Struthio camelus: one gene and its partner. The protein of the gene in region 1 interacts with the protein of each later gene in a biochemical or structural test. Links are inferred from orthologs where the notes say so. Each region holds a gene or a part of one and is shown on either strand. Other genes may lie near its edges.

The links.
Region 2: the proteins of COPA (region 1) and COPE form a complex in vitro, tested with the Homo sapiens proteins (3 studies listed by BioGRID, with this or other methods). The link is inferred for Struthio camelus from reciprocal best matches to the Homo sapiens genes COPA and COPE.

The regions. Positions count from the first base shown.
Region 1 is NC_090971.1:5,144,388-5,155,337, reverse strand, and holds the start of COPA (coatomer subunit alpha), read left to right. Parts: upstream 1-6,788; 5' UTR 6,789-6,803; coding exon 6,804-6,945; intron 6,946-7,158; coding exon 7,159-7,272; intron 7,273-7,777; coding exon 7,778-7,851; intron 7,852-8,167; coding exon 8,168-8,248; intron 8,249-8,483; coding exon 8,484-8,560; intron 8,561-9,069; coding exon 9,070-9,179; intron 9,180-10,950. Other genes in the region: NCSTN (nicastrin), read right to left, coding at 516-668, 1,550-1,659, 2,163-2,313, 2,440-2,585, 3,675-3,793, 4,332-4,455, 6,031-6,135, 6,593-6,716. UniProt on the Homo sapiens protein: The coatomer is a cytosolic protein complex that binds to dilysine motifs and reversibly associates with Golgi non-clathrin-coated vesicles, which further mediate biosynthetic protein transport from the ER, via the Golgi up to the trans Golgi network.
Region 2 is NC_090967.1:6,124,601-6,136,053, reverse strand, and holds the start of COPE (coatomer subunit epsilon), read left to right. Parts: upstream 1-7,234; 5' UTR 7,235-7,336; coding exon 7,337-7,462; intron 7,463-7,758; coding exon 7,759-7,821; intron 7,822-8,245; coding exon 8,246-8,346; intron 8,347-8,548; coding exon 8,549-8,701; intron 8,702-9,192; coding exon 9,193-9,246; intron 9,247-9,762; coding exon 9,763-9,844; intron 9,845-11,029; coding exon 11,030-11,185; intron 11,186-11,453. Other genes in the region: probable ATP-dependent RNA helicase DDX49, read right to left, coding at 1,758-1,934, 2,224-2,295, 2,681-2,769, 3,384-3,458, 3,847-3,944, 4,451-4,527, 4,650-4,725, 5,286-5,426 and 5 more. UniProt on the Homo sapiens protein: The coatomer is a cytosolic protein complex that binds to dilysine motifs and reversibly associates with Golgi non-clathrin-coated vesicles, which further mediate biosynthetic protein transport from the ER, via the Golgi up to the trans Golgi network.

The DNA of each region.
Region 1 (10,950 bases):
TAGATGCCTTGAGGGGAACATCAGCTGTTGGCCATCAGTCCCTCCTCCACAAGCTTATTCTGCTTTAATACAGCTGTCAACTCCAGTGCTGGGCTCTCTGAAGTGAGCTGCATTTCACTGCCATCAACATATATAATTTTAATCTAGTCTTTTCTGGGCTTCGTGTCAGAATTTAAAGTGCGGCCACTGCATTCCACCCTGAATGGTGGTGAGGCAGAGAACAGACACAGACAGAGATACTGGCGAGAGAAAGGAGCAAAGGGAAAGTTTGTGTCATTCACCCAGAATGAACTGGGGGCAAAAAAAAAGGTTGCCTGAGTGGAAGCTCCATCTCCTATCGCTATTCCAGAGCGGTTGAAATCTCGTTCTCACTGAGTAAACAGAGAGAAACATGCTGCGGGGATGCAGATGATGACCTTGCAAAAAGAATGGCAGAGAGTTCATTTGCAGGGAGCCAGGGACTGATGTACTATCTAACGAGCCAAACGGTGGAGTGGTGCTGCTACTGCTCTTACCCCTTGAAAGAAGGTGAACATTATATTCCTTTGCAGCAAATGAACATCTGACACTTTATGAAGGGCTTCAGCAGCAGCCAAGTGGGTCACAAAAGAAGAGACGGCACTCTCTGCCCCTGGGGCAACATTCCAGAAGAAGGAGTGGCTGTCAATCTGCAAGCATGAAGAGCAGGCATAAGAAATATGCACATAGGCAGTGAGAAAATAGACCCTGGCAGAACTGACCAACGAGCAAACTTTATTGGGAAAGCACCAGTCAAATCTGCAATGTCTCTCCTATCTCACAACGCACCCCACTTACGAGGGAAGAAAAAAAGCACTCTGCTTAATGAAACTTAAGATGCCGGTTCCACTGCTGTGCCAGTCCTGAGGCCTCAGAGCTCTGCCAGCACACCTCAGTCCTGGCCAACACGCCTGCCAGATATGCTAATTCAGGTATCCTACACTCAGCACTTCAGGGCTAGGCCTCACTGAAAACTGAGATTACCCAGTGCACTGTAATTTTAATAATGCTCACCAAGTAAAAAAGACTGCTAGACAGGGGAGTAAACTTTTTTGCTCAGCTTTGATACCTTCTCACTGCTTGACCTGCAAAAAAAAAATCTCCATGTGATTCAGTTTTGCCCTTCTGTTAAATACTGACAGATCAATGAGATCTCCCCCTCTGCAAAACATTCCAAGGATGTAAACTATCTTAGAAAAGCACAATCAGAAGTGTTGACTATTTCTACTTGTCTGGTTCCTACTTGTCTGGTTCCTTAAAGGCTTTGCATCACTGAGCAAATGCCCCAAGTCATGTAGCAAGACAAACAGAAATAAAGTCCAGATGTCCTTATGTTGAAATAATAGGCTCTACTATCTAAAAGGCTCCTACTTGCAGAACTATTATAGTCAGTCAGATGTAAAGCAAGGTCTGAAACATGGGAAGAAATTAAAATATTTAGGAGGGGTATATTCCAGCAAGGCCCTAAGCCCACATCTTCCCAGAATCCTTTCAGCCTGCTCTCTTCACAGCAAGATTAAGAGGTACCTACTCGAGTGGCAACAATAATGACTTCTTTCTCAGGGTCGACTTTTCCAGAAGAATTGATAGGTTGCAAGGTGCTCCACACATTGTAATCAAGAAGAGGATCACATACAACCTCTACGAAGCAGAAACAACACAACTCAAGAGCTGAGACTACAGCAGTGACAACAAGTGAGAAACAATCTTTCTGGTCAGCTATAGCTCATCAGCGGTTCTATCACAGCAGCAAGCTTCTGCTCAGCATGGGTGTAAGTCCTGGCCCCAGGAAAAGTCACTGATAAAACATGCACCAGGACCAGGATTTCAATCTATGTACACGCACTGCTAGTGAAGTACTGATATCAGAGCCATTCTTTATGATCTGTTTAGCAGATATTAAGTCTCTTCCTCAGCCAGAATCCCCTCTGCATACTAATTTTCCAAACCAATGACAAATGTACCCCTAAATTCTTCATCGCTTAAATAGTTTATTTTGAAAAGGCTTGGTCAGCAAGCAAATCTTCGGGGACATTTTAGAAATTTTCTTTCTTTCTTTCTTTCTTTTGAGCCATTGTATTCCACTGGGATTTTTATTATCAGTCTTGTCCCACATCATGACAGGGTAAGAGGAATCTGCTTACCTGGATTAAGGCTGAAGGTGCTTTGGATGGAGCTGCGTCTCATGCAGGTAACAGTGCTAGTGACAGCATGCATGTGGGAAAAAAGCTGCATAGCACACAGAGGGTACTCAGGGCCAGATCCATCATGAGGGACATTATGATCTTGATAGCACTAGAGAGAAATAAAAATTAGTATAAGACTTAGTATTTCTGTAATAGTATTGCACACTGCAATACAGCCCTCTTTCTTGAGCCATGTTGCAAATCCCCTCGCCCGCCTTTTGGCAAAGTGCAGTACCTGCTTAATAACTTGAGTCTCATTGGCATCTTCAAGTAGAAAAATAGGGAAGTCAAAATCCTCATAAGAAAGCCCGCTCCCCACGGGATTCCACACAGTACTGTTGCAGTGTGCAAACTGAGGGCCATAATCTTTGGAATAGACACCTGGAAACAGGAAGAAATGGGCAAATCACCGCAGGAAAGGTAAGGGCTGCTGAGAAAGCAGCAGCAAGCATACATTTAGCACCGTTATGGGCTAAAGAACGAGCTGACAAAAGCTTAGAGAGATGGAGCTGGTCACTGCATGCAGCAAAGTGGCAGAGACAGAGCACTGTGCCATGTGGACAGAGTAAGAAACATGCATGCTCAAAGCCATCACATGCCAGGAGGCTGGCATGAGAACTCAACAAGCATTTATCACATGCTGAGAGAGCAGAGGAGGCATACAGAGAAACATCATACTTCAAAAGGAGGAACATACACACCAGCATTTTCTGAGCTCATCATGTGCTGGAAGTACCTCTAAGGCATCCATAATGTGCCAATCATTTTAATACCTAGATACTGCGTGCAAACAGCAGGAAGGCAGTGAGACAACAAATGCCAGCACACCAAACTCATCTCAGGAGTTTATATAGCATCCTTCACAGCAGAGCAGCAGAAACCTTTGTGCAAACTACACAAGGTATAGTAATCTCTCCCCTCGAAGTAAAACACAGTAGTTTTGCTGCATGAAACATTTCTAAAGTTTAGGGGAGCATGAAAAACAGTGAAATGAAAACCCGACTGAAACTGCAAGAGGAACACAGGGAAGCAGAACAGAATTTAAAAAAGTAACTAGTAGCCCAGAGTTGTTAACGCCTACTCCACCCAACCTGCACAAACACAAGAGGCTTAATGATCATGTTTGGAAAAAATACAAGTTTCATATGTTAAAGAAAAAGAAGCTAGAGCAAATCTGGGTCAGGTTTAACATTTTAATGACATAATGCCATTTTATCCAGGGCAGATTCAAAAGCTCATCTAACAGTCTTTCTTCAAACATCAGTTCCAGCCCTTGTTGAGAATGGATGAGATTCCAGCTCAGACCAACTACTTCTAAAGGATTTACTGAGCCTGGACCTTAAACATCATTTTGACATTAAACTGCAGCTGCAATTTTGGCTGGCCTTTGCACTTCTTGCTTTGACCATACAACGTAAAACTGCTGTTTCTCCTCCACCCAACAACAATAAAGACTTTACAGTTCCTTACCAAACCCGTCGTTGGGGCACTTCAAACCAGGAGAGAATCCTTGGGGAGGGCTAGGTTTGGCAATGGCCACAGCAAGGCCTGAAACTCGTGAGGTTCCCTTCAGTTGCAGCATTACCCTCCTAGAATAGAGAACAGAGGAGTGAAAATTTGAATTCACTAACCAAAAGTTACAATCCAATACATGCTATTGCTGATGTACTACAATCAAGCACTGCTTGATGCTTTTGATCAAAACATGCCCCTTTCTCCTTATCTTCTCAGAAATACATGAGATTATGCACATGTCAACAAACAGAAAACAATCACTTCACCCACTTTTCTCCTCTGCCCAGAGAGAAATGAGACAGATGTTAATCATGTAATTTAATTAAATATAGGAAGTGCTACAGCAATGAACATGACTTTAGAATTTACATAGAGCAGAACTCTTGAACAACCAAACCATTCATTTAAGAAGAAATGAACAAACACAGGCACTAAGACAGTAAAAATACAAATGCTCCAACCTTACTGTACATTGGTACAATCAGGCATTCAGGGCTGATTTACCATGCGTCATTTGAAAAATGACATTTTTCATCACCAGATTAGGGACCCTTGTTGGTCCTCTGGGCTCTTGTCACCTTGGGAAGATTAAAACTGATGATGACTCATTACCTGTTGAAAAGGTTCCCATCTAGCAGTATCATATATGGTGGGTGTGGGCCATCTGCAAGCACCCAGTTCAGGTCTTCTTCCTTCTCAACCACATGGATCACCCCTGTGTCTCCGCTGATGGAAGCTGCGGAAAGAGAGCAGGCCCTTCATGTTTCACTGGAGCCTGTTTCTTTCAAACCTCAGAAAAGAAGGACAGTATGTCGCAGAGAGGTTTAAGGAAGAACAGCTCACAGGATTAGAGAGCTGAAGGAAGGAATTTGGTGAAGTAGCACTTTCAGCTAAAACATGCCAGAAAAGTAAATAGGCTTTTTTTTTTTTTAAAGTGAAAAAAGCCAAACATTATAATTTAAGAAGTAATAGCAATAAGCACCCACGTGTTGAAAGCATCTTTTGTCTAAGCTCAAAGTGCTTAAGGAATTTCAGCTACCTAAGCACTACTAGTTTTCTGTGACCAAAGAAAATAAGAAAGGATATAATAGGAAATTGAGGCCCAGAAACAGAAAGGTGCAAAGAGGAGACAGGAACTGCCTCAAGGACCACAATCACAGAAGCAGTTTAGAGCTGCCCATTATCAAAGAGTAAAGATTGCAAATTCAGAAACTGAGTGTTCAAGCACAGCTCAGCACGAGGCCTGGAGCACAGAGAGATAAAGATGGCAAAAGATCACGGTGGCAAAGAGGACTAACAACAAAGCAGGTGGAGGAAGAAGCAGGTCTGACTACTTGTCATTTCACTCCATCCCAAAGAAAACATGCACGTGCTTTGTCCACTGCCCAAGAAGCAACTGTTAAAACAGGTACTTTGTCAATGCCCGCAGTTAGTAACTGTTATCATTGTCAAGAACTGCTAGTGACTAGGAAGGCGGGATTGCAGGCAGCTGTCTGCATTAACACTAGGCTCACACCCAATGATGGAAGTCAGAGAACCTTGTACCCCAGGTCATCTATCAAACCAAGTGCAGCTGCGCTGCCCTGCAGTACCAGCTGACAATCCCACTGCAGGAAGTGGCTCACTCAGGAACCGCAAAATTCAGTCACAAACTAGCAAAACACCAACTCAGAGAAAGCCCTTTCTATATATTACTGCCTTCAGCAAGGAATGTTGATTGAATTGGGTGTCCTTATTTCTCTCTCCGTTCTTACCAGCCAAGCAGTCCTCGCTTCCCCAATCCTAATTCAACAAAAAACTTACCAAGTTAACAAGCGCTGCACAAGCAGCACAACCAAGCCATCTGTTCCCTACAGATCTCAACTTCCCACTTCTTCACCCCCTGCTCCCTTTGTCCAGTCCCTTGTTACCCCTAACTCACTCTGCAGCACGCACACCTTTACCTTGTACCCCTAAATACTGGCTGGGCAAGAGATGGCCTACGCTGAGGCCTGGTTTTATCCTATGCGTGCGCTAACTGACTGCTACATACAAGCAGTAGATTGCTGAGTTCAGAGTGCTGCTCTCTGCCAGGCACTGATCGTCTGTCAGAGACTACAGGAGCACAGCCTAAGGCCTCTACCCTTCAATTTAGCAGAAACTGGTCAGCAAGTACAGCCTTACTGAAGCGGGACTGGAAGAGAGGGCAAACAGCACTGAGAACACAAGCAATGTTGTCAAGGCAAGGCAAACAGAACAACACTCTTATGCCACATCGCTCAGGGCCTGGCCATCCCAAAGGGCAGCTCTGGGGCCCCACAGCAGTACTCACACTGGCAGCCGATCTGGTGGGTGGCATTCAGGAGGCGAACGCACGGCGCCGTTTTGTTCAGGGGGATGTAGATCTTCCTCTCAATAGAGTTCCCCTGGCAGGAGCCTGAGGACAAGAGATAGGCCCACCTCAGAGAGGGCCAGATGAGGGGTCCTGAAGGGAACCCCCCCAACTCAGAAGGAAAAATACAAGGCCCTCCCCCATTTCAGAAGAAGAGAGACTACCCTTCCCCCCAGCTCAGAAAGGGGCAGACGATGTGGGGTCTCGAAGGGAGCCCCCCAGCTCAGAGAGAAAAACAGGAGTCCCCCCCCCATTTCAGAGAGAGACATTTGAGGCCACCTCCCCCCCCCCCAAGAGAGAGGCAGACAAGGGGGTCTCAAAGCTCAGGGAGGAAAATGGGAGCCCCCCAGCTCAGAGAAAGACAGTTGAGGCCCTCTCCGCCTCCCTCCACCGACACCTCAGAGAGGGGCCTTCCTCCCCCCCGCCCCAGCAGAGGCCGAGTAGCCGCAGTTCGGGGGCGCCCTGCCCTGTCCCGCCCGGGCCCTCGCCCAGTCATCCTCACCCGCCGCCAGCGCGGCAAACAGCAGCGCCCGGAGCAGCCCCCGCCAGGCCGGGAGCGGGATCCAGCGGCTCCTCGCAGTGGCCTCCATCCCCCAGCCGCCCCCAGCGCTGCCCACCGCCGCCATCTTCTCAGCCCTTCCGCTTCCTCCACCGCGGCCACAAGGAGGCAATGCCGGAAGTCTCTCTGCACCAGCCAGGAGGATTACAACTCTATGGTCCAGGAGGACTACACGGGACGGAAGCGGAAGTCTCTAGGGGGCACTTCCGGGGCGCCGACGTGGACCGTCAGGGTGGAGGGTCGGTGGCGGTGGATGATGCTGACCAAGTTCGAGACGAAGTCGGCTCGGGTGAAAGGTAGCGGCTGCGCCGGGAGTCCTGAGGCTGGGGGCACGGGCACGGGACACGGGCGCCGGGTGTCCCCGGGCTCAGGGGGCCGGGCCCCCCCCCCCCGCTCTGGAGCCTGCGAGGCCCAGCGGCCCCGGCCGGGGCGGGGGGGGGCGGCTCTAACAGCCCCGAGGCTCCGTCGGCGCGGCGGCTCCGCTCTCACGCCACTGCGGGCCTCGGCAGGGCTCAGCTTCCACCCCAAGCGGCCGTGGATCCTCACGAGTTTGCACAATGGCGTGATCCAGCTGTGGGATTATCGGATGTGCACCCTGATCGACAAATTTGACGAGCATGACGGTGAGCGTGTTCGGGGCGGGGGGGTCGAGATTGGGAAGGCTCGGTTTTGCAATGAGAGTAAAGGCTGAAACTTGCTTGTGGGAGAAGATTGGGGTGAGAGAGAAGAAAGTGTGTCATTTTGCTGAAGGCATTGCTCAGGCCTCTGCTGGTTTGACTTCAGTCCCCATTTGTTTTACCCTGTCTTTCTTCCTGGCCAATTTATTAGTTTCTGAACATTGTGTTCGGGCCTACAGAATAGTGAGTGTATTAGCTTCATTGTCAGTATAAAAATAAACTTGTAATTGTGTGTGAAGGGCTTGGATATTCTGTGATTCCTGTGAGTGCCCTGATAGAAAGGAATATGATCTCAGAGTTTTGCCTGGCTTTTCATTGTTGCGTTAAAGTTTTTTATTTTATCGATATCCAAAAGAATCAGGGAGGGATAAAAATCATAACCTACGTGATATAAGGGACTGTTCCAGCTATCAGGCATCTGTCTCTGTCAACCTGCTTCTCCTGTTTGTAGGTCCCGTTCGAGGTATTGACTTCCACAAACAGCAACCTCTCTTTGTTTCTGGAGGTGATGATTACAAAATAAAGGTAAAACTTTACCCCGATATCTCTTGTTCTGTAAAGGACGTTGCCTAGGCAAGGGAATGTGTTGGGGAAATGCTGACAAGGTGAGAGAGTGAGAGGGAAAAAATAGCGTTAGGCGCTTAAGGATTCTGCTGTTCCAGAGGCATTAGAGATAATTGTAATGAACTGAAGTGTCTTCGCAGCTTGCATTAGAGCCATATCGTAAAATAGAAGAATGAGGTTTGTATGTGAGTTAACATCTTTAATGTGTTGTGAGAGAGCACAAGAAGTCTTGGCAGGCTGTGGCACGGGCTTTTTGTTCTGTTTCTGTGTCGTGCAGGTCTGGAACTATAAATTGCGCCGTTGTCTTTTCACTCTGCTTGGGCACTTGGATTACATTCGCACTACCTTCTTCCACCATGTAAGTCTCTTTGTTACTTAACCCAGTGATGTATGTCTGCTCTCTTTTCATATAAAATGGTATCCTTTTTTTGGCTGCCCTGGCTCCCCCTCCTCCCCCCCCCCCCCCCCCCAAAAAAAAAAAAAAAAACCCAAAAACCCCTGGTCATTCGTGGGGACCATTGGAAAACATTGGGAGGGGGGAAATGTCTGATGTGGAGATTATTATTTCATTTGCAAAATACTTTACCTTTTAGGAATATCCCTGGATATTGAGTGCTTCTGATGATCAGACAATTCGTGTTTGGAATTGGCAGTCCAGGACTTGTGTTTGGTAAAATCAATGGGTGCTTTATGAGTAACTGCAGGGCTGGGGTGCAAGCTATCTTAATTTGTTTTTTTCAAATGGGAGATATTATTGATGTTTCAAAACTGCATAGTTGAAGGAAAAGAACTGACAAAGAAAATTGATCAGTTTTGAATATATCTGTCGGTCCTTTCTTTTGCTCGTTTATTCTGATGCTACTAAACCATCTCTTATTTGTGAATTGACATGTTGTTTGGGTAAAAAAAATTTCCCCGGTTGAAGTAATATGTTGGTATTCACCTATGAGGTTATTGTCATCAGTAAGTAAGCCCTTGAACGCTCTCCGCAAGAACATGCATCCAGTGTTCAGTCACACTAACTCTTGAAGAGTTGCATTTTTTTTTTTTTTCCTGAGTATCACGTTATTATATATCCCTTATCAACCTTCTTCCTCAGACTGAGCTTATTCCTGTGGCTACAAATGTATGTTAGTATCTGCTATGTTTAAGTGGTATTTTCTGTCCTTTTTGTTGTAGTGTGCTGACAGGACACAACCACTATGTGATGTGTGCCCAGTTTCATCCCTCTGAGGACCTGGTAGTGTCAGCCAGCTTGGATCAGACTGTGCGCGTTTGGGATATTTCTGGTGAGCTGCCCAGGTTGAGGGGGTATCCAGTGGCACAGCCCACTTCAAAACTGCAATTGCTGAAAGCCAAGTGAGGCAGGAACTAGTCGGTTTGTATCTGAGAGCAGAAAAAGTAGCTTGTTGACTGCAGGAGCCTCAGGCAGCAAAGTACAGAATTCTCTATTGACGGCGACCCATTGCCCTCAGTTTCCATGAAGTGTAGGATGTTTGTTGGTAGGGACCTCTGGGTGTCATCTAGTCCAGTCTTCTGCTTGAAGCAAGAATTCTCCAGTGATAGATCAGGCCAGCTATAGCTTTGTGCAGTGATGAAAACCTCTGAAGATGGAGATTCCACAACCTAATATCCCAGTGTGTATGTGTGCTCTTTGTGGGTTTTTTTTTTTTTTTGGTGGGTGATGAGTATTGCAGTCAGAAGGCACATAGTACTGTCACTGGATCAGCTTTGCTGATGTGCCAGACTTTGTAGGGGGAATTCTTGAGATTTGTGGTTCATCTTTATCCCCTTGAAAAACTCCTGGAGGCAGCAATAAGTCATTCATTCAGAGATAAAGATAAAAAGGGCTTTTCTCTTTTTCCTTTTGGGTAACCTAGTTATGGATGGGAAAAGGAAGGCAATATTAGAAATTTCTTCAGCATACAATTTGCTTGTCCGTTTCATAAAACGAAGCGTATTCTAAAGACCAGAGCAAGGAAATGCAAATCAGAATTCCAAAGTATTTTGCTAGTAGGTTATTGTTAGTTGTTTCGTAGGTTACAGCTAGGCCACGAGGTGACTTAATGATTGAAATAGGATCCCTAAATAAAAAAGTAAAAGAGAGGAAGTATTAGATGGAGATGAGGGACTGCTTGAAGGCAGGCAGGTGGGACAGAACTGATGGTGTTACAATGTTGTCTATCCCTAGAGATAGATTGTGGTCCTTTATCCCACCTCCCTCTCTCAACGTTGCAGTTTTGGTTGGGCATGCTGCATTGTTTGTGGTACACACTCAGACATGGCCAGCTGGGTCAGCAGTAGGGGCTGGGGACGGGATCTCCTGGTTATTTAAAACCTGTCCCCCTCTCTGTACTGCCAGCATGGGGAGTCTAACAGCTCTTCTGCCAGTAAGCTTTGCTGCTGCATTCTCCCACAGACTCTCTCTTACTGAAAAATGGATACAAAAATTAGGATTTCCCCTGCGCTGTCACCCCACAAGTTTTTCCCCCAAATGACTTCTGATTTGGTTCTAACAGTCTACTGGGAATGGGTATTTCCCCATGTTGTCTGATGTCTCTCATGTGTGCATAATCCTAAACATAGACAGCATCATTTGATACTGAGCTTTAACTCCAGTTCTGAGTGCTGCTGATAACTTCCCATTGATGTCAACAGAAGCTGCAAGTTGTGTTTTCAGCAAGTTTGAGGATTATGAGCACTGGTTCTTTGATGCCCTCAGTTAAATGAGTTAAAAGGCCGTGTTCCAAAATCCTCTTTCTGAAGTTGTCAGCTTTGTTGGCAGTGAGGGAGGAGGAGTTGTAGTGGGTGAATTAAGCATGACCTGGAGCAGGCAATCAAGACTACCCTTTTGTTTTGAATGCCCATGTGTTTTGTGCACTGTGGACTGAAACTTTCTGTCTTCAGAGCTGCTGATAAAGTATCTTCAAATACGGTCCAGGTTAAGGAGTCCATTTTTTACTAGTCTCCTGAGAGAGACTGTGTGACTACAGTCAGAAAGAGCATGCTTGTATATTAAAATGCATGAATATTTGTTTTGTATTATTCACCTGTGCTGTG
Region 2 (11,453 bases), on another chromosome or scaffold:
TCAGATAGCATCTATCCGGTACAAACCTATTTACAGCTGCTGCAGCAGCTGCCACCAGTGACAGTGGGCTGTACTACAAGGCAGGCTATTGAGTGCTTTTTCCTTCCCAGGCGGCACCCAAGGGGACAAAGTGAGAAACATGGTTCAGGCATCTCCCAAACCCCAAACTGTATCACACCCATCTCATCCCACACCTGCCACCAGGTAGCCATAAAGATAGACACTGGCCAAGCCCATGTGAGTGCTGAGCTCCTGCAAGGCCTGAATGCACTGTGAGGCCTGCTGTTCATGGCTGCAGGATCTTTTCTGAGGGAAACAATGGCTTTCCTTTGCAAGACCTCCCTGTGCACACGCCATGCTGAGTCAGGCAAAGGCACTGCAGGGACCACCTGCTCCTAGGAAAGGAGCTGGGCTCAGGTTGGATGAAAGGACAACAGAAGCTTTCCATGGCAGATAGACAGCATCAGGATATCCAACACCCACAAGCCAACTCCTTGTCCAACTGATTTCCTGAAACAAAACTGAAGGTTTCCCATTTTATCTCCAGCTGTTTCCCCACACAAGGTACTCTTCCACTCCCCTGAGAGCCCATGACAATTCCTCCATGCGAGTAGGTGTTAGAGAAGGTCAAACATCCTGTCACCTGTTGCCAATAAGTATTTATTTGGGGCCTGACCACAGAAACTATTCTTGCAAACCAGAGAACAGAAATAACAGTTCCTCAAACATTAAAGAAGGCACTGACAATCAAACTTGACATTAGAAACAGAGCTGGCCAAACCCTATGACCTGAGCCTGCTCTGGGATTTGAGGCTCTGTGGGGAAGCACTTTTATGCCAAATGATTTTCAGAAGATCTCAGCACCCCTTGGCCAACCTCCTGTTCCAAATATACATGATGCAAATCTATGCTGGGAGGCCCAGAAACCTTTCTGGTTACTCTTAGATGGTACAAGAAATATGGGAGCCCCACCTCATTGGCTTTTCACCTTCTGCACCAGAAAAGGTCTTTGAACTGACTATCACCTGGGAAAGCAAGATCAGATCAAGAGTCCCCAGAAGCCCAAGTCACTGAGGGAACCAGGACTCTACTACCCACACCAATCAGCAGTGCTGGAGTCCAAACTGAGGCAGATGATCACAGGCAAGGGTGCCACATAAATGCATAAAGCAGCATTATCAGAAGGATAGGCCTCAAGACCAGCTGCACAACACAACCTCCCTATGTGTTCCAGGAAATTTTCCTCTCAGAAAACCATGGGCTATGCCAGGTCGAGGGGCTGAGATCATCCTGTCGCAGTATTTTTAGACTCTGGCTCAGGGGAGAATCTGTTGATATAAACAAGAGTGGAAAGCACCAGCCCTTGAAAGGGAAAGAGCAATGACTGAATGGAGAGAGAGAGAATCCTTATTTCCCTTCATGTCACCAACAATTCAGGTCTGGCTGTCCTTTGCTCGGGAAAGGGATGCGCTTTTGAAGGACATTCTTCCAGGAGATGGATCCAGCCTTTCAGGAGGGGCTCAAGCCAGCAGCATTACGCAGGAATGAAAAGTAACGGAGATGGTTTTTGAGAGGATCCCATCCTCCCTCACCTGCTTCCCCCAAACTCTCCAACACCAATTTCAAGTCAGAATTGTCCACATTAAAACCCATTAGGGCTCAGTATCCCCAAAGCAGGAGCAACATCAGGGTGGTAACAGCCAACCAGCAGGGCTCCCAAGCTCCCTATGAGTAGAAATAAGTCAGGCCAAAGGATGTTATTTCTCTTCCTCAGCACGCAGTCTGTTCTGCCGCTCTATCCTCTTCTGCAGTTTCCTCTTCAGCTGCAGTTGCTTTTTCTCCTCCAGTGTTTGCCGGATCTTCTCACGGAATTGCTTGTTTTTCTTCTTGATCTTGGCCAGTTCTGCCTTCCTTTTTGCCTCCAGATCCGGATCCTGCAATGACAAATGCCAGGATACTAGTCACATGCATAGGGATAGTGCCAGCCCCTTGCCTTTGCCAGATGCCCACTCTGCTCCCTAGCCCATGACTGAGTAAGCTGCAGAAGTCAGACACTAATCCAATCACTTTTTCCGTACCAGTCACCCTTTAAGATAAGTTTCACCACCCCAAAAGGGAGGTGGACAAACCACAGCAGTGAAGAAGAAACCGTCATTCCTCTTCCTTGTCAATGGTGTTATACCAGCTACCGATCAAAGTAGTTTATATAGCAGCAACTCTCACCTTCCCTTCAAGGATCATTTGTTTCCGCTTATTTATTTCTTTCTTTTCATCAAAATCCATCCCCTCCAGTTTCTGTCAAAGCAAAGATAGAGGAGGGCAATCAGCAACCAATCACTGAGCCTGACACAGAAAAGCAGTCAGCAGAGCCTCCTTGGTTCTCACACGCACCTTTGGTAACCTCCAGCCCCAACACTCAGCAGCACAGAAATGCTGCAGAAATGTTCAATAATAGATCAAACCATCAAACCCTATGCTAAGGAAGATATTTAAAAAAAAAAAAAAAAAAAAGCCCACATACATCCAAATGTTTCCACTAGAAAAACTCTTATCTATGTGCTCAAGAAAAAAAGCTTCATATCCAGAGCTGAACACTAGACTGTGACAAATCTCCTTGTTACACCCAGCTGCCCAACGTTTCCAGTCCTCTGAGCAAAGGGGCTTATGCTTGCACACTTACTATTTCACACTCCCTCCTGGTGATGTACACCTGGGTGAGGATGTCAAGCACAAAGCGCTCCTCCACAGAAAACTCCTGCAGCTTCAGTTCTAAATCAGAACAAGACATTTACAGAGCACGGGTCATTACAAAATACAGAGGCAGATTCGCAACTAGTGAAATCAGTATAGTTTCACTGATTGTCAGTGGAACTGTTGTCACTTGCTTTGATCATTATGACTTCTGCAGTCCTACAACACAGGATTAAATCCTCCCCTCTGCCCATAAGTCCCTGTAGCACAAGATGTTGCCTTTATTAGGTCTGTTTTCAAAACAGATGAAACCTGAATCTGTGCAAAGCGTCCCACTCTTTCTGTACACCTCTGCATACACAGCACTGAGTCAGGAAGGAAGGAAAGAAGGAGCTGACTGCTGTAAGAAAAAGGTTACAGAGCAAGCTCTACAGCCCGTTTCCCCTGCACTAGAAATAGCAGGAAGACAAACATGCTCATGCCTGGCACACACAACAGCAAACCCAAAGCTGATAGATTTAAGTGCTCCCACTCTTTCCCAAGCCTTGGCCACACAATCAGGGAAGAGAGACCATTTTGTTGCCAGTGTTCTGGATCATACATCCTACCCTGTGAAATTAGGACTGCAAGAATCACAAGCACAGAGGAGCATGTATCATCCCATTTTAGCACCGTTAACGCTCTCCACTTACTGATTTCATCCTCGATAGCATGTACCAGATGGATGTCGTACTGTGTCACCATTGTAATAGCTATTCCGTGCCGACCTGGAGGATAAGAACACAGTAATATATGAATCTTGACGAGCAGAGGGAGATGAAGCCTAATCCATGCCAGAGGCCATCCATCCCTGTGAGTCAGCTTGGCAGATTATGGTCACAGGGCACTCTGAAGAAGGACCTTTATTTGCTCTGCAAAATCAATTAACTATTGGTGCAGATCAGACACAGCTCAAGGTGAACCATCAACGCAATCTTAGGGCAGGATGCTGAGCCCGTGATCCGAGTAGATCTGACACTGACTGAAAACACCGCACTGCAGCTGCTGCAAAGCCTCCTTACACCCATTCAGGGCACAGCCTTAGCACTGGGATCCCAGTTCTAGCCAGCTGCAGCACTATCTTGCAGCAAATGGCACAGGGTTTTCCTTGCTCACCAGCACGGGCTGTCCGGCCAACCCGGTGAATGTAGATTTTTGGCAAGCCTGGAGTATTGTGGTTGATGACAACTTGTACTGCAGGAATGTCCAAACCTCTGGAATGCAGTAAAAGAGAACAGAAGTTAAGAAACACCATTTTAGTACTCTGCTCTCCCCAAGAGCCCAATATTCTCATGAATACTGCCTTTATTAGCTCAGACTGAATCTAGGACAAACCCTCTCCTCACACTGCTCTCCAACAGCTGCAAAATGGGATGGCCTGCATAAACATCACCCTGTAGCCTGACCAGCCTGCTGTTCCCTCCCTAGACCCAGGAGACAAGCTAAGCCTCACAGAAATCTTTCTCCTACTACAACACATGCACACACTCCTGCTGCAGCAAAACAAAGCAGAATCAGAGCTACTTCATGTACAAATGAGCTCCAAAGTACGTCTTAAATATTCCCTAATCAAAGGGAACAACCCTATCCTACCCAAGTGGGGATTAGAGGGAATTTAAAACTCCTCTCTTGCTAAAGCTACCCTAACCTCCACAGTGACTGTGGTGCTTTAAAAGCACGCCTAAGACCTTTGGCAACAGACACACTAGTTTTTCGTTACCTGGCAGCAACATCCGTGGCAATAAGAATCCTAAAGATGCTGGACTTGAACTTTGCTAAAGCCGCAAATCGCTGCCGCTATAAAGGAAAAGTCTGGATAAGTGATACTGCGATCCTCAGGAGCTGCGTGCCCTGGACAGACCTCTGGCTCAGGGATGCAGCTATAAGCATCCATCTCCCAGACCTGGCCTGTCACTCACCTGTTTCATCATGGAATGCAGAGCTACAGAAGGAAAGTTGAACTTCCTAAGCATCATGTTCAAGACTTGGCAGTCCCTTAAGGCAAAAATACATTTCCTTGTTATATTCTGATCTTTCAAAAGCAGATGAATCAGAACAGAGGCTGGGGTTCCTCTAGAACCCCTCAGAGTACAATCACCACGATGAAGTTAGTTACCGAAGCGCTCTGACGGAGGTAGGGAACAGGACGCCCACTCCACACTTAGCACCCGCTCACCCCAAGAGAGTGACTGGATCCCTGCATGTACCCAGGGAAATGTCACAAGCACCACACTTAATCCCCAGGAACTAAAATCCTAAAGAAAGAGAACAGTACGAAAGAGCGGACAGTGCTATTTTCCCCATCCCTTTTCCGTTATCCATCAGCAGGAGCAAAGGAAGATCAAGGGAGGTAACATAGCTTGACCCTCTGGAGCGTTACATTTGTGGACAGTCCTTCACCCCCAGATTGCCCAAAGGAAAAGGAGTTCATCTGCCAAATTTCAGCACAGACTAAGGAAGTAAATACCATCCCAGTCTAACAAACCATAAACCTGAACTAGAAATGCAAAAACACGTTTACAGTAAGAGCAATCACAAGGAGCAACTTCACTCACTTGCAGGTTTTGGTAAAGACAATAATAGACCAGTCTTCATGCTCATCCTGAAAGGTCTGGATTAAATGGACCAGGTACGCATCCTTGACTGTCTCTGGCACAAGCAAGTAGCGCTGGTCCAATTCATCCACTGTCCGCACCCTGCAGGGAGGGAAAAACAAGGTACCAAAAAAGCACAGGTTTGACAAGCAAAGATGGAGCATGAGGGAGATAAAAGACCGTCAGGAGACAAGATAACGGAGAGGAAGCGTGATCCCACATGTAGTGGAGCAGGTGAAGACTTACTCTGACAAAGCCTCCCAGAAGAAAGGCCTGTTCATGGCAAGACTCTTCAGCTCATTCAGTGTATCGGTTAGCGTGGCACTGAAAAGCAACGTTTGTCTGCGTGCTGGAACAGCCTCTAGGATCACCTCCAGGTCCTCAGTGAAGTCAGTACATTCCTGCTCTAGCAGCCGGTCAGCCTCATCCAAAACCTAGACACAGCCAAAAAATAACCAACAGACTGTCTGCACTCATGCCTACGAAGCTAGGAATCTTAAAAGCAGAAACAAAACTAAATAAACTGCCCTACCAAGAACTTTAGCTTTTTAAGGCTGAAAGTGTTGGAGCTGCGGAGGTGATCTGCCAACCTGCCAGGTGTAGCAATGACAACATGGGGTTTGCGGGAGAGCTCTAGTGCCTGGGCCACCATGTCTGAAACAAAGAGCCATAGAACCAGGTTACAGGCAGCTGAACACAGACCCTAAATAACGTTTGGTCTGTGAAGTTGGGAAATACAACGCTCCCTATTTCTGCTACCCTCACACAGCCTTAGGCACAGAATAACAACTTCACAGCAAGAAGAAAACATAGCACGTAGAAAGAAAAGCGTCACCCACACACTGGATATCCAGTGACCCAGGAAAACAAAACTATTGTTCTGGGTTTAAAACGCTTACCATCCTTATGTCCTTTTATAACTCTTTGCTTCAAAAACAGCTGCCTACGTTTAAGGAAACACTCCCAGTTTAGAGATAAATCACACAGGCCTCTATCCACAGGGACAAAAGGACAGTAAGCCTCTCTAACAACGACTACCTATCTCCATCCAGCTGCTGCAGGGAACAGGCTGCCAAAAGAGAGGCGATTTCCGATGCATTTTGGAGAATTTGGCCCCCACTTGCTCACCCAGTGTTTTGTTCTTTACCAGCCCTGCCCGCACCGGAGGCGGAGAGGACCAGCAGAGGCCCCACGCGGCCCCAACCTCGGGGCAGCGCCACTCACCCAGGCCGCCCACCACGACGCAGTCCTTCAGGCCGAGGGGCTTCCCCAGGACGCGGAACTGCTCGGCGATCTGGTAGGCCAGCTCCCTGCCGAGGGAGAGAGAGCTCAGGCGGGGCCGGGCGCCGCGGCGGGGCCCTGCCCCAGGGGCCGGGGCTCCCCGGGACCCCTGCGCACCTCGTGGGCGTCAGCACCAGGCAGAAGATGCCGTAGGGGTCCTCGGAGAGCGCCTGCAGCACGGGCAGCACGAAGGCCGCCGTCTTCCCGCTGCCCGTCTTGGCGCAGCCCAGGCAGTCGCGACCTGCGCGGGAGGCAGAAGCAGGCGGGCCGTTAACGGCCGCCGGCAGCCCTTCAACGGCCGCCGGCAGCCGTTAACGGCCACCGGGGCGCCGCGAGCGGCGGCGGCCGCGCTCACCCTGAAGCACGGGCGGGATGCAGGCGGCCTGCACGGCCGTGGGCCGGCTCAGCCCCACCTGCCGCGCCTGCTCCACCAGCCAGGGCGCCAGCCCCAGCTCCCGGAAGGCCGCCATGATACCGCTGCCGCTGCCACTGCCGGCCAGGCCGCCGCCGCCGCCGCCACCCCCCCCACTTCCGGCCTACGCGCTGCGCGTCACCGCCCCGCCCGGCCTCCTCATTGGCTGCCTTCTCTCTGCACCCACTTCCGGCGCCCGCTCTGGCGTCATCGCCCCCGGCACGCCCATTGGTTGGGGGGAGAGGAGCGTCCTGTGACGCTAGCTCCCGGCAGCCCTCGCGGCCCAGCTGCTTCCGGAGACGTGTCTGAGGGGAGGGAAATGGCGGCCGGGGGGGGCGCGGGCCCTGCCGGCCAGGGCGGCGATGCGGACGAGCTCTTCGACGTAAAGAACAACTTCTACATCGGTGCCTACCAGGCCGCCATCAACGAGGCGCAGCGGGTCAAGGTAGGGGTGGCCTAGAGGGGGCCCTGGCGCCATGTGTCCCCCCGGCTCCTCTCCCCCGGGCCCGGCCTCCCCTCAGCCGCCCTCTCCCCGGAGCCCCTCGCCTCGCCTCGCCTCGCCGCAGGCTGTCTGCGCTGCCGCTAGCGTCTCTCCTCTCCTGCAGCGCCCCCCGCCCCCGGTGTGGGGGTCTCGTCCCACGGTGCAGCCTGGCGGGGCCGTCCGTGTGGGACTGCGCTGCTCAGGGCTCGGGTTATGGCTGCACGGGTTGCTGAGAAAGGTCTTTTTTGTCGTCCCGTCAGCCGTCTAATCCGGAGAAGGAGGTGGAGAGGGATGTTTTCTTATTCCGAGCCTACATTGCCCAGGTGAGGTTACAAATGCTGCATATGCAGTAGTCTAGCGTTACTGTGGGGCTGGAATCCAGAACTTGTGAATCTGAGTCCTGCAAATTCAGTGCCGTGCAATTTCTAGTAATTCCTCCTTCAGTGTTGGAACGTAACGTCCGCTGGAACAGACACGGAACATGCAGTAGTGCAGTTATGAACGCGATGTGTTGTGTCTAGGGTCAGTGCAACCTGATGAGACCTCTTTGAGAGGTACTTCTTTATTGTTAACACAGTGTAGAGGGGGGAATAATTCTTTATAGGGTTATGAAATCTGACTGTGTACAGTGCGATGGGAGATGTAAAATAGGAAGGGGAGGGGTGGTGTCTAAGGTTTACAGAACAAACTATTCCTGCTTGTGTTCTTAAAATGAATAAATTCTAGATTCTTTTTTGTCTTCAACAGAGAAAATATGGTGTTGTCCTGGATGAAATTAAAGCCAATGCTAGTCCTGAGCTCCAAGCAGTAAGGATGTTTGCTCAATATCTTTCAAATGAGGGTCAAAGGTAAGTCTGATAATAAGTTATAACACTCACGCACTGTCAGGGAATATATTTTCCTATGGAGAATTTCTAATAGAAGTGTAATCTTTATTATGGCTGTCTGTGGTTCTGCCACGAATCTCAAAAACGTAGAATTTTAGGGGGTAAAATCTTTTGGCGTTATTTAGTAATAAAACGCTCAAATTTTTACTACTGCTCTTCACAGAGATGCAATTGTTGCTGACTTGGACAAAAAAATGGCAAAAAGTGTTGATGTAGCTAACACTACTTTCTTGCTGATGGCTGCTTCCATCTATTTCCATGACAAAAATCCTGATGCCGCTTTGCGCACTCTACATCAAGGGGAAAGCTTGGAATGGTAAGTGTAATTCAATATGACATCATTGAGGTGTGTGTTAGCAAAGTCTCTGTTGTCTAGGGAGAGTTACCATAGAAATGGCAGAGATCTGGCTTGTCTCTAAAAAGCTTTGAAACCATTAAGAAACTGTTTTGAGGATTGTCTTCCAAGCAGTAAGTGACTTGGTGCCTGTCCTGCAATAGAAAGTATATTGTACCTTTGTGAAACTTTAGAATTTGATTTTTTTTTTTTTTTTGGAACAGTACTTGTTCGTGGTTGCTCAAATGAGCATTATGGTGTTACAGCAACAGAATATTTGGGAGCTAGAAGCAAGCTTCCCTGTTCTGTGTCCCAGTGATTGTTCTCCCTGCTTTATTGGTTTTCCGCTGCAGGGAGACTTGTCCCTAGTCTCCGGTAATACATCTGTCTCCTATGCAGTAGGTTCCCAAGCAAAGTGTAGGGAGCAGTAGAGCACGCAGCTGTGAAAATCACTTTCCCTTTGTTCCTTGCAGCATGGCAATGATGATACAGATTCTTCTGAAGCTCGACAGGCTTGATCTAGCCCGGTAAGTTTGCCTCTTGTATGCACCCCTTTGTTTCTGAACAATATTCTTGCAGTGGGCTTAAAAAAATTTGAAGTCCTTGATAAGAGAATTTGGATCACCTAGCAGCGCTTTAACACATGCAATGGGCAGAAGAAACTGTGTCTGGGTATGGGTGCACTGTGCAAAATTCCTGTTCGTCATGATGCAAGAACTTTGGAGATAATCTAGCTGGATACAGCTAAAGGAAGAAGCTGTCTCCTAGACTTAATTTCGCCTTTGCTAGAGGGTGATTTGAGTCTCTAGTCATGGGTTATTAGCTTCCCAAAAGGAAGTTAAACAGGGAGGGAACACTCTTCCACAGACTTGTTTCAGCAAAATATCGTAAAGGTTTTGTGCCACATTACCAGGTTGCTGTGGCTGTTTGCTAGAGGGAGAGAAGAGTTGACAGAGGGAACTGCAGCCTTTTGTTTGTATCTGAAAGAACTCCAGAGGATGCATTATCTTTCTGTTACATGGCTCCCACTTTTGCTTCTGCAGCAAGGAACTTAAGAAGATGCAGGAGCAGGACGAAGATGCAACTCTTACTCAGCTGGCTACTGCCTGGGTGAACCTAGCCATAGTGAGTAGCCTAGACAGGGGTCCCTAGTGTACAGCGTCTGAGGAAACGTTGTCCAGAAGCACAGCACTGGCACAAGACTCCATGTTGTATTCCTGATTGCTCTTGTCACGTTGTGCCTTCAGGGAAGCATGTCGTTTGGCAGAGGGGGAGGGAAAGGGGGGTTGTCTTGTTTTTGGAGGAGAGGGGTACTTTTTTCTTTTTTTTTTTCTCTCTCTCTCTTTGTTACCATGGAAATGTATTTTTTCCTTCAAGTACCCGGAGGATATTTGCAGCTGACTTTTCAGGCTGCCTGGCTGTTTTGACTGTTGGCCTTTTCATGTGTGCTATTTAGCCTTTAACTCGCATAGGGCAGAGCTAAACCACAGTTTAAATAATTCATGAAACATCATAATGTGAAATGGAAAGCTGCAGTGCGACTAGCATCCAGGCCTTGCAATTGAACTCCAGACAAAAATGTAATTCTCTGCTCACAGCAGATTGTCCTTAAGCACGTTTGTGATTCTAGGAATAGCAGGACAGTGCTCGCTAAACTCAATTTCAGTGATAAAACCAGCTGCCATAGCTCCTCGTTTGCCCTCAGCACTGGTTTCCTTTGCTCAGCAAGATGTTTGGCACTTTTGGTCTTTTATTCTTTAACTTCCCTCCCATCCAAGGAAACCTGTCTCTGCACAGCTAAAAACTTGCCTTTCACCTTGTTACTGCTCTCCATTGAGCCTTTTGATGCTCACCACTGGCTGGCAAGAATTTTATTTACAACTAAGCATTTGAAATGGGCAGCCAAAAACATATACTGTCTGGCAGTCCCGATATCAGGTATTTAGAAATAAGTAGTCTCCTAAAATTTGGTCAAGACCGAAGCATGCATGCAGTAACCTACTGTGAAGCTGCTAAGACTATTTTAGCACACGCTTGGCCTTGTTATGAAATCTTTCACAGATGGTCCTTGCCTTACAATAGCGTATGGCTATGTTTTCCTTAAGATCTTACTTTCCACTAGGGACCCCACCTTAGTTTTAGCCAGTGGAAGCTGCTGCATGTAGAACCTTTCTGAAGCTGGAACTTTTTGGAAAGCCAGATGTCTGTACCTTCATGTAGTTACAAGGTCTCATGTCATAATGCCTTAATACCTCAAGCATCTGAAGTGGTTCTTTTGAACTGTAGCTAATCTGTTTCCTCCCTTTGCAGGGTGGTGAGAAGTTGCAAGATGCCTATTACATCTTCCAAGAGATGGCAGACAAATGCTCCTCCACCCTCCTCCTACTTAATGGACAAGCAGCCTGCTATATGGCTCAGGGCAAGTGGGATGATGCAGAGGGGGTACTTCAGGAGGCACTGGACAAGGTATTTTCTGTTTTGCCAGGCAGATTAGCTAGAGTTCAAACGTCTTTCGTTAAGGACACGGAGCAAAAATAGCAAGGACTTTCACTGTTTTGTTTCATGAAAGCATTGCTAAGGGTTGTCAGTGTTAATACCTACCTTTTCTTCTGCTTTGCCTTCTCCAGTAAAGTGAGTTATGAATGTGACAGGTAAGATTGGCTTCCACTTGCAACACTGTGCAGGCTGTTACACCTAGTCACAGTAGAGATAAGTCAGGTGAATCAGATAATTG